3 linked regions of the Macaca fascicularis genome follow. The protein of the gene in region 1 interacts with the protein of each later gene in a pairwise test. Links are inferred from orthologs where the notes say so. Each region holds a gene or a part of one and is shown on either strand. Other genes may lie near its edges.

Region 1 (3,644 bases):
CCATTCTCCTGCCTCAGCCTCCCGAGTAACTGGGACTACAGGCGCCCGCCACCTCGCCCGGCTAGTTTTTTGCATTTTTTAGTAGAGATGGGGTTTCACCATGTTAGCCAGGATGGTCTCGATCTCCTGACCTCGTGATGCGCCCGTCTTGGCCTCCCAAAGTGCTGGGATTACAGGCTTGAGCCACCGCGCCCGGCCTTTTTTTTTTTTTTTTTTTGAGACGGAGTTTGGCTCTGTCGCCCAGGCTGGAGTGCAGTGGCGCGATCTTGGCTCGCTGCAGCTTCTGCCTGCCTGGTTCAAGCAGTTCTGCCTCAGCCTTCCTAGTAGCTGGGACTACAGGTGCCCGCCACCACGCCTGGCTAACGTTTGTATTTTTAGTAGAGACAGGATTTCGGCATGTTGGCCAGGCTGTCTTGAACTCTTGACCTCAGATGATCCGCCTGCCTCAGCCTCCCACAGTGCTGGGATTACAGGTGTGAGCCACCACGCCTGGCCCCGCCTCAGCCTTTTGAGTAGCTGAGATAACGGGTGTGCACCACCATGCCCGGTCCCTGCTCTAATATTAGAGTTTTGACCCTTCTCTCATACTGCTTGTGAGTGACGCCAATCCTCTTATGATTGTTGGATGGGATTTTTTTTTCTTTCGGGGATTATGTTAGCCGGAACTTTGGGTTGCAAGAAACAGAAACAGCTCAATTTGGCTGAAACAAAATAGGGTACGTTTTGGTATCCTGACTGAAATGTGGAGAGCCAGGGATGCTGCTGCCTCCAGCTCTGCGCCCCCACTCCCGGCTCCTCTCCGAGAGGCGGCATGCGCACTACCCAGCACCTGTGGAGTGAAGCAGGCACCCTGTTCTGGTGGTGTCTGGGGAAGCCCTGGGATGAACTGTAGTTAGCATGCTTTGCATCACTTCTCTACATGAAGTCAGAGTTGTGTCATCCACGGGAAGGGGAAGGAGTGCGTGGCAGGCAAAGCAGCATCCGTAGCATCTCCTCCTGCGTTGTCCCACATTGATACATGCTCAGTGTTGATGCTGGGATGGGCCCTCCCCGACTCCACAAGTTCCCCCACTGCCCACCACTCCACCAGGCGATGTCATCTGTCCCTGCCGTGGTACAGGTCATTTCAGCTGGTTGTCAATAAGACTCAGGGTCCGGCCAGCCTGTGACTGAATGTTACCTTGAATCCTCTCAGCACCCTTCCTAGTCAGGAGGGGAGATAACTGCCGTTAAGAATAGCTGCTTGGAAAGGGGGTGTTGAGCTGATGCTCCTGGTCAGCCCATTCTCCGTGGGCACGGCAGGATGAGTTGCGCTGAGGCTGCGGCCTTATACAACCCCCTGCTGCAGGAGGTGGCCTGCGGTGGCTCAGGACTGATCAGGCTCGGCCATCTTTGGTTTGCCAACATGGGGTTTTAGAACCCAGCAGGTATTGGGCCTCTTGTGCTGGGTCAGCACCCCAGGCCACAAGCAGAAGTCAGCTAGCCAGTGTGGGCCTGACGTCCTGAATGGCTGGGTGCTGTGCGTCCTTCTGGATCCCAGTTTGTGGCCTCCCTGTGGTCTGGCTCTTTGTGATGGGGTCACCCTGTCTTTGTCAGGCCTGGGCTGTTGCTCTCCTTTCCTGGCACTGTGTCAGCTCAGCCCCCACAAAAGGGGCCTGTTGGCAAAGGGGTGTTTTCCTTTTCTGTCTTCAGAAGCCAGCAGTGTCTGAAACTTGCCTCTGTCTGGTGGGACCTCACTAACATCTTCCCGTGTCCTGATCCTTCCACCTTTTAACCAAGTCTCCTCAGGGTCTGGCCTCAGAGAACAGGGTTGTTGGGGTGGTTTATGCAGCTCCTTTACTCTGTGATGCAGCAGGGCTGGGGCTGCCCACACTTGCCTCTGAGCAGCCAGTGCTCGCTCCAGGGCCTGTTCTGTACAACACGTGTACAGATGAACGTAGGGCAGCTCCCGGCATGGAAGGGGAGGTGGACCGACGGGGCAGTAATGGGCACCTCTGCAGGTCAAGGGCAAGGAGAGGGGCTGCCTTGCTTTGTGCAGGGGCCTGACCTGGGCACTGCCTCCTGCCTACTGTGTGCCTATCAGTCCCAGGTGCTGGGGACAGGGTGACAGATGAGGCGGTGCTTATGGGTGAGTGGGAAGACGAGACACAATATTTACTGTCAGGTGGTGAAAAGCACATGCAGCAGGGATGCGCCAGAGGAGACTGGAATTCGGGCCGGGTGTCCTGGGCAGGATGGCACTCTCTGGACTCATCACATCACCCGCCGTGTGCTGGCCCCATTTGGCCAGAGTGCACTGAAGTGTCTGCTTCTTTCTTTAAGGGAGCAAAGCTTGTATTGGCTTGCAATTCAGCAGCTGCCTACAGACCCTATAGAAGAACAGTTTCCTGTCCTAAATGTGACCCGGTACTATAATGCCAACGGGGATGTAGTGGAAGAGGAGGAGAATTCTTGCACCTACTACGAGTGCCACTACCCTCCCTGCACGGTGATTGAGAAGCAGGTGGGTGTGCTGCAGTGCGGCCTGGTCCTTGGCACCTCTACCCTGTAGCCCAGCCTTGGTTTGGGGTCTTGCCCTCCTACCGCAGGGCCCCATTCCCCGGAGACCACTTGGGCTTTTCCACCAGGGTGGTCTCCCTTTGCCCTTGTGCTGGCCTGACCAGGGCCCAGGCCCTCCAGCCTTGGTACATGGTGTTTTGCTGGGTCCGTCAGATTGTCCGTGCGATGCAGTCTTTGCCCCACACTGCATCCCAGGCATGACGGTGAAGCCACAAGTGTTCTGTATTTCAGCTCCGGGAGTTCAACATCTGTGGGCGCTGCCAGGTGGCCCGGTACTGTGGCTCCCAGTGCCAGCAGAAGGACTGGCCAGCCCACAAGAAGCACTGTCGGGAGAGGAAGCGTCCCTTCCAGCATGAGCTTGAGCCAGAGCGATGACGGGCGGGAGAGCCGCACACACTCGCAGCCCCCGGGCTCTACCCTGGGCACAGCAGAGACAGACTGGTGGTTGAACCTGGAGGTGCCGAAAAAGCCAGCTGCGGGCCCAGGACAACCGCTGTGAGACTCCCGATGTCACAGGCAGTCTGTGTGGTTATAGCGCCCCTCAGTGTTCATCTCCAGCAGAGACAACGAAGGAGGCTCCCACCAGGACGGTTCTCATTATTTATATGTTAATATGTTTGTAAACTCATGTACAGTTTTTTTTGGGGGGAGGCAATGGGAAGGGTAGAAATTACAAATAGAATCATTTGCTGTAATCCTCGAATGGCAAACGGTCAGGCCACGTGTCTAAAAACTGTCCTGTAGCTGAAGCTTCTCCCCTGGGCCACGGGAGCCCCATGGAGCGCGGCCTGCACAGGAGTTGTGTCCACAAAGGCAAAGTAAAGGGGTGGAATCATCCGGCGTCTCGGACATTCTCTGCTCTGCCTCCCTCTTGTGCTGCTGAGGGTGAGGTCATCTTGAGTGGAGCCGAATCCCTGTGAGGGCAGGAGGACGTGCCCTTGCTCCTGGTGGGCAGGAGCAGGTGAACTCAAAACTTCCTGAGTCCAGCAGTGAGCGTGAGTGAGACTCTGTCCTTGTCTTGTGGCAGGACTGGTGCAGGTGCTAAGTCAGCTGCCCACTGGTTCATTGGGAGTGGGATGCTCTAG
Region 2 (3,744 bases), on another chromosome or scaffold:
CCCCACTCTCCGGTGCCGGGGCCCCGCGCCCTAGCGCGAGTCGGAGGCCGAGGCTGGGTCCGCACCTGCCCCACCAGGGGCGGGTTGGAGGCGGCAACCTGGGCTTCGCAGAGGCGGCGCCACCTGGCGGCCCGCTCGAAGAACACACCCAGCCGCCCCCCACCACGCGGGCCCTGCCCCACTCCCCGGCACGGTGCCCTTTTCCCCGCGAACCCAGGCCGGCCTCTGGCGCGGCCCCGTGCTCCCCAGCCTCCCCTCGGGACCGCTTGCTAAGACAGAGGTCATTTCTCGGAGAGAAGCGGCCCCTGGCTCCCCAACAATCACTGGGGCAAACCGGTCCAAGCCTACAGCCCAAACCTACAGGAGCCGCACGGCAGACAACATTCCACTTTCTCAAGGTCGCAAATATTCTCACCTTCTCGCACACAATACAGTCTCCCTAACACCCACGCGACCTTTCCCACATGCAGCCTCACCACGCAGCCACAAGCAGTCTCAGCTGTCACGTGGGTCCGCGTTCCTTCTTTCCATAATCTTCCAGTCCAACTCACACACAGACACGGTGTCACAGGCCTGTTGGGCACAGGCTTCCACAACAATCCGCAGTCCTTCGCACCCAGTCACTGTCTCAAATGCACTTAGTCTCCTAACCATCTTTCACGCATTGACAGCCTCTATTCACAGTCACTCACACAGACAACTTCTTACAGCCATGCTTCGCAAATATTCTACCGCACAGCCTTTCCCCTAGGGGTCTCGGTGACCCGGTCAGGTCAGCTGATGCCTGCATCCCTGGGCAAAGACAGCCTTTCTCCCCTAACCACCCCCTCCCCCGCAGGGCCAAGGCCTGCCAGAGCTCGCCCGGGCCCCAGGAAGGAGCATCCCCCCCTTCCAGGCCACAGCCCTGGCCGGCTCTCAGCTCTATTTTTAGCTCCATGGACAGGGTTGTTTTTCTTTTTCCCTGGAAAGGGAAACACAGCCCAGCCACCCTCAGACTCACCCCAGACCCTCAGCCTCACAAGAACAGACTGAGACCCTCTCCCCAACAGAGCCCCCTCCTCTGGCCTTGCCCTGATCCCTGCCTCCTGGGGCACCGAGAACCTCCTCCCCTTTCTGGCAGCCTGCCCAGCTCAGGCGGCAGCTGGGCTCAGCGTGTGTGTAGGGGTAGGGGGTGGGGCGGGAAGAAGGCATCGAGCTACTGCCCACTCCCTCATTCCCTGGGGGCAGGGGCTCGTCCTCCTTTTTCTAGGGGTCTAGGCCCACTCTGGTATTGAGGGGGCGTTTACACTCATGCATTTTCTGCGGGGGAGGAGACTCCTACTCCGGCAAGGAGTGGAGGTGAGGGTAGGAAGGGGACCCGCAGGCGCTCAGGCAGCTGCTCTCTGGGCTGGCGGGAATAGGCGGGGGCAGCTGTCCACTGCCATCAAGGGCCTGTCTCCGAAACCTTCGGGGATGCAGATACCAAGAATGTGCTGGGGGAAGGACGTACAGGAGCCCAGGTTAACCCCAGCCCTGCCCAGCAGCCCGGCCCTCCTGCTCCGCCCCGGCTCCAGGGGGCGCTGTGCTCCGGTTCCTGGGAGAGGGCTTATCCCGGCTCCAGGAGGAGAATGGAACGCCGTCCGGCCTGGAACCAAGCAAACGGGCCTCGTGGTGGGGTTGGGGGCACAGGCCACTGGTGTGCGGAGCTGTCACGTGCCCGGCGCCTGTTTACGTCTTCGTCTTCACCTGTGGGCGGCCAGGAAGCAGGAACCTCTGGGTGCGTCCCACCCGGCCCGCCCCCGTCGGCGGTCACGGGGCTGCCCCTTTCCCGCACCCAATGCGCGACCGCAGAGTGCCCTGCCCGCTGTGGGTCCGCGCGGGCTGATTGGCGCTGTCCCTGGGAGTGCAAGGGTACAAAACTGGGCGCGTCCTTTCCGACTGCATGTGTGTTCGCGTGTCCCAAGTGCGGGCGTGGGTCTGTGCACGCGTGTTTGGGGCCCGTCGGCGTGCGTTTTCGTGTCGCTTCCCTGTTTGGACTCTTCGCGGGCGACCCACCAAGTGCGGACCCCCCTCCTCACTCCACCCCTAGCTTCCCCAGAAGCGGAAAGTTCGTTCAGGAGCGGGGATGTGCGGGAAGCAGGAGTTCCTGCACCTCCGCGGCCCCACCACTCACCCAGCGCCACCTGCGCCTCGGCTCCAGCTCTGGCCCCGCTCCTGCTCCAGCGCGCCCACCTCCTCGCCGCGACAACGCCGCCTCCCTAGCCCGCTCCGAACTCTGGGCTCCGAACTCCGGGCTCCGGGTTCCGGGCTCCCGGCTCCCGGCTCCGGGCTCCCGGCTCCCGGCTCCGGGCGCCCGCCTGGCCTGACCTGGTGGGGCGGGGCGGGGCGGCTCAGGCCGCGCCCCCCACCCAGGGAGGGGAGTGGTCTGTCCCGCACTCCACCAACAGCCTACCCAGTTCCCTGCCCCACAGGGACTCGACGGTGGCCGAGGCTGCCCCTCTGGCCTTCGCCTTCACAGTTTACTGGATTTGGTTTTTGACGTGGGGAAGGGGGCGAGCATCTCGTGACCGATAATTCGACTACCTGGCTGCCTTAAACTAAGCTGCCCTATAGAACTTGACTCTGCCACCCTCCCTGCTCCGTTGGGAGCCCAACCCGGTCCACTCTTGACCCAATCCCCAAATATAGGGAAAACCCCTGGGAATCAGACAAAGGAGGCTCGAGTTTCACCAGAGCAGCTCCCACCTGCCCCCACCATGCACACACCTCAGCGTGGGGCTGCCCAAGCAGAACCAGCACAGCCCCCTCCCTAGAGTAGGTGTCTGCCCAGGTGAGCAGGCCTGCCGGTTCTGACCCCCCACGGGGCATGACTGGGCTTCTCTTAGACTCATAAAATCCTACCCACAGGCACAAACAGGAAGTTGGCCTGTATTGCAGGGAGGCCCCAGGGGCTCCCTCCCGCCATGGCACTCAAGGCAGCATGTGGGAAGGTCTTTAGGTATCTGGGCCGTATGGGCTGCTGGAGACCTCGGTGAGTTGTTGTTTTTTGAGACGGAGTCCCGCTGTGTCGCCCTGGCTGGAATGCAGCGGGCGCGATCTTGGCTCATTGCAACTTCAGCTTCCAAGGTTCAAGTAATTCTCCTGCCTCAGCCTCCAGAGCAGCTGGGACTAGAGGCATGTGCCACCACGCCCGGCTAATTTTTGTATTTTTAGTAGAGACGGGGTTTCACCATATTGGCCAGGCTGGTCTCGAACTCCTGACCTTGTGATCCACCCACCTCGGCCTCCAAAAGTGCTGGGATTACAGGTGTGAGCCACCACACCCGGCCGAGCTGTTTATTATTAAACCCATCCACAGCAGAGAGGAAGCTGCTGGAGGACCAAAGCTGCCCCCTCATAGCCAAGTGTGACATACACTATCAGTTAGAGGACAAGGCTGTAGATCCAACTGGACCTGGCTTAGCCAGGCCTTTCCTGAGTTCTCGGGGAAATGTTTTTGAATTTTTTTTTTTCTTCCCAATCCACTGAACCTGTGAGTCAGGGAGATTCTTAACATCCAGTTGGGTGTAGGCAGACCAGTCCTATCCCAGGGAATCTGCACAGGCCCTAGGGACCCCCCACTGCTTTCTAGAATCCAGGGATCTGAACAGGCTGGGCCCGATCATGATGTGGGTGTTTAAGGCAGGTATGGAGTAGAATGTGTTTGTGCAGGGGGTGGGGCTGGGGAGAGTATTAGCTTCCCCTCCACCTCATCCTTCTGGTTTG
Region 3 (3,744 bases), about 78 Mb from region 1:
AATTTGAATTTTAGGTAAGTTTCATATGTCATGTAATAGTATTATTTTAATTTTTTCAACCATTAAAAAATATGAAAACCATTCTTAGCTCAATGGCCAGATAGAGTCAGGTGGCCAACCTGCAGACAATAGTTTGCTGACCTCTATTCTAGAGCCTAATATTGAAGAAAAAAACCTAAAAACCAAAAAAAAAAAAAAAAAACAAAAAACCCTCTGAATATTAAGTGTCTTGCAGTCGAAGATGCCTCTGACTGGCTCATTCACTAAAATGAATGGAAAGAGTTAGGAAGCATAGGAAAGAAAAACAAGCACAAAGATTGTCAATACTTTAAGTTCCCATTTCCCATAAGCAGGAAGCCAAACTGGTTTAAGTCCAAACAACTGGCCAGAGCAGTGTCTTTGGAACTTGCTTCATGACCAGAATCACCTGGCTTCTTGTTGAAGCTAGATTCCTGGACTAGAGGTTTTGATGTAGGGGAGCCTTCTGGTTGGGGGTGTGCTCTCGGGACCAGGTAAGCGGAAGAAACACTATTTCAGGGGGTGTAAAGGAATCTCAAAAGCTGTGGTTCTTAAAGTGTGGTCCCTGGCCCAGCAGAACCAGCATTACTTGAGAGCTTGTAAGAAATAGAAGTCCTTGGCCTACCCTAGAAACAGTGAATCAGAAACTATGGGGGTGGGGTCTGGCAATCTGGTTTTCATCAAGCCAGGTGGTCCTGATGCCCACTAAAATTTGAGCGCGTCTGCTTCAAGGCATCATTACCAGCACCTGGAGAAGTGATTGAGAACCCACCTGAGCAGAGAAGGCCTGGGCTCTCTTAAACCGCTGTGTTCTCCAGTCTGTGGGTGAGAGCAATTCTAACAGACATCTGAAGCCAAAGGCTTAGGTTTCCACAGGAAGATCTGGAAACCCTATTCAAGGCAAGCCTTTTGGAAGTCAAAGGCTGTATTCCCCTAAGAGGGGGCACCATGGATCCTAGAGACAGCAAATGCCACCCAAAGTGATGGTGAGGGAGTTTTCATCTTTTCTGCACGTGTGACCATTTACTGCACCAGAAGCTTTCTAGTGACTTCCACCTTTTCCAGGTTTCTCCAAGGTCCACTGGGGAACCCCCGTCCTGGGCCTGCCAGTGAGTTGCTGGGAGCTTCCCGACCTCACAAACGGCTCTTGTGATGTAATTGTCACCTGAGGTGTGCCCCTCCTGGTCCTGGCGACATCACAGAGGCTACCTGGGCACGGACCCCGCAGCTTCCTGGGGCCCAGTCAGCAGCTCCAGGTGCCTGAGTCTGGGCTGTGGAGGCTGGGGCGGTGGTATGCAGGGTGAGGTCTCCCTGGCTGCTCCCTCGCGCTAGGCCAGCTCCAGGAGGGCAACAGACGACAGGACATTGCGAAAGGGCCACTTAAATTTTCCTTCGAGTAAACAGAACACCTGCCAAGGCCCTCGAGCCTGGGCGTGCCCCAAGCCAGGTGGTTGGGGTCCAGGAGTCGGCTGCGGCTGGCGATGCTCTGAGGGGACGTCAGGGCCTCGGGATGGCCGCTATGAAGACAAAGTGCATCTGTGAACTGTGCTCCTGCGGGTAAGGTGGCTGTGCTCAGGGCAAGGCTGGGGGAGCCTGGGCTTTCAGACTCCCGAGGAAGGGAAGCCTCCCCCAGCTGCTTCATCAGGCGGCATCACGGTGGGTTCGTTCACTTGTCACGTTTTTTAGGCCACAATTTTGTCAACTAGCATTGTGCCCGCAGATGCAACATCAGTTCTGGCAAATGTGTCTGTTTTTGGGCCTTCTGTGCCGCTTCACTTCAGAACTGCAGGAAGGCTGAAATGGGCGTGGCCGGGCAGCCTGCACTCCCTTCCCTGAAGCCCAGAAAGTGTCAGCCAAGGAGGGAGAACACCTGGCCCAGTGGGACCAGTCTTGCTCCTTTTGGGAAAGTGATAGGATGGGAGGAGAATTCCTGTAGTGTAACTGAATTTCTCATTCAGAGAGATTGTTACTTTGTCAAAGAAGTATAAGGTATTAGTAAAACTTGTTTCCACATTGTGTAGAGTTGAATGAGAATAATGAAAACATTACTTTCACAGTCGCCTGGCCTGGCCAGGTCTCTCTTCTCACCTTTAAGGAGCGTGTCTGGGTGGAAGCACAGTAAAGGTGGTCCTGGGGGAAATCATGGGCTTTAGTCAGAGTCCCACGGGCTGACTGGTCTGCTGTCTCTCACATGATCTCTTAGATGTTCCTTCTACCTGCTTCCCAGGACAGCTGGGTTTCTGCTTGGCTGGGGCAGGGAGTGGGCAGCAGAGGAGCAACAGGCAAGAGGGTTCTGAGGTCAGTTCTCCTGGGCTGTCATTAATTGTGGGATCTTGGATTGGTAAATAAACTCTCGGTCACAGGTGCCTCATCTGTACCAACAATACCTACCTCATAGGACTATGATAAGAGTTAAGATCATGTACGTGAGTCCTGGTACATGGACTGTGCGTAATATGTTAGTGTCCTGAAATCTGAAAAAAGGGCAAATATGACACATGCAGATAAAAATGGTATCAGTAGTGTGGATAATTAAAGGGCACTCTACAAACTGGATCAGCAACCTTCTACATCTCTGGCATCAATGCATGGTTCCCAACTCTGGCTGCTGATTAGAATCACACAGGGAGTTTGAAAACTATCAGTTGCTCAGGCCGTTGAATTTATAATCTCAGGGTGGGTCCTGCCAACTGTCTAAAGGTGATTCTGACCATTTGCTAGGACTGGGACTCACTGAACTAGAACATGTACAAATGTGGGTCTTGCTTTTGAGCTTTGTTAAGTGGGGCCGGAGCAGTGTATAGTCTAGGACTACATGTTACCCAGCAAAACCTTTTCTTCTAAGGCCTTCTTTCTTTTATTCATTTTGGAGACAGTGTCCCGCTCTGTTGCCCAGGCTGGAGTGCAGTGGTGCCATCTCGCTTCACTGCAACCTACGCCTCAGGGTTCAAGTGATTCTCCTGCCTCAGCCTCCTGAGTAGATGGGATTACAGGCACACGCCACCATGCCTGGCTAATTTTCGTATTTTTAGTAGAGACAGGGTTTCAACCATATTGTCCAGGCTGGTTTTGAACTCCTGACCTTGGGTGATCTGCCTACCTTGGCCTCCCAAAGTGCTGGGATTACAGGCATGAGCCACTATGCCCTGCCTCTAAGGCCTTCTTTCTCCTGGGACCCTTTACATTACCTTCCTGTGTCCTGCATTGTTCTAGGCATCAGGATTGAAATGTATAAGACATAATCTCCATCTTTGCACAGCGTGCAGTCTAGGTAGGAAGGCAGAATGCTCATTAAGAGATGCAGAGCATATGTAGTGAGAAGTCTCCCTCCTGCCCCTGCAGTAGGGGTATAACTCATTTGGGTGTTCCTTCTCTGACTCTGTTCTCATTGTGTCCCTGCCAAGGAGTCACTTTCCACTGGAAGCAGGGTCTGTTCTTGTGTCTTTTCTCCTTTTCTTCTTCCCTCATCCTGTATTTTCTCCTCCACTTTATGGTTTCAGCCAGTAGTCTCTCCTGTCTTCTGAATTCCAGTTTCATTGTCACCTTCTCAAGTGCTTTGTGATCCATCTGTCTCATTAATCTCAGCTTCAGCAACCTTCAAACATTCTTCTGGTATCTGCCCCATTCATGGTGCCAGCAATCTTCTATTCACCCTGGGTGAAAATTTTGAATCATCTCTTATTCTCCCTCAACCACAGCATTGAATCTCTTTTTTCTTTTCTTTTT

The links.
Region 2: the proteins of ZMYND19 (region 1) and LZTS2 interact in binary tests that used the Homo sapiens proteins (3 or more experiments, as listed by UniProt). The two-hybrid records come from large-scale screens. The link is inferred for Macaca fascicularis from reciprocal best matches to the Homo sapiens genes ZMYND19 and LZTS2.
Region 3: the proteins of ZMYND19 (region 1) and SAXO1 interact in binary tests that used the Homo sapiens proteins (3 or more experiments, as listed by UniProt). The two-hybrid records come from large-scale screens. The link is inferred for Macaca fascicularis from reciprocal best matches to the Homo sapiens genes ZMYND19 and SAXO1.

The regions. Positions count from the first base shown.
Region 1 is NC_088389.1:1,732,305-1,735,948, forward strand, and holds the end of ZMYND19 (zinc finger MYND domain-containing protein 19), read left to right. Parts: intron 1-2,322; coding exon 2,323-2,503; intron 2,504-2,790; coding exon 2,791-2,934; 3' UTR 2,935-3,394; downstream 3,395-3,644. UniProt on the Homo sapiens protein: May be involved as a regulatory molecule in GPR24/MCH-R1 signaling.
Region 2 is NC_088383.1:109,955,064-109,958,807, reverse strand, and holds the start of LZTS2 (leucine zipper putative tumor suppressor 2), read right to left. Parts: upstream 2,349-3,744; 5' UTR 2,153-2,348; intron 1,757-2,152; exon of another isoform or gene 1,726-1,756; 5' UTR 1,463-1,725; intron 819-1,462; exon of another isoform or gene 416-818; intron 1-415. UniProt on the Homo sapiens protein: Negative regulator of katanin-mediated microtubule severing and release from the centrosome. Required for central spindle formation and the completion of cytokinesis.
Region 3 is NC_088389.1:79,841,897-79,845,640, forward strand, and holds the start of SAXO1 (stabilizer of axonemal microtubules 1), read left to right. Parts: upstream 1-841; 5' UTR 842-1,528; coding exon 1,529-1,575; intron 1,576-3,744. UniProt on the Homo sapiens protein: May play a role in the regulation of cilium length. Stabilizes microtubules at low temperature.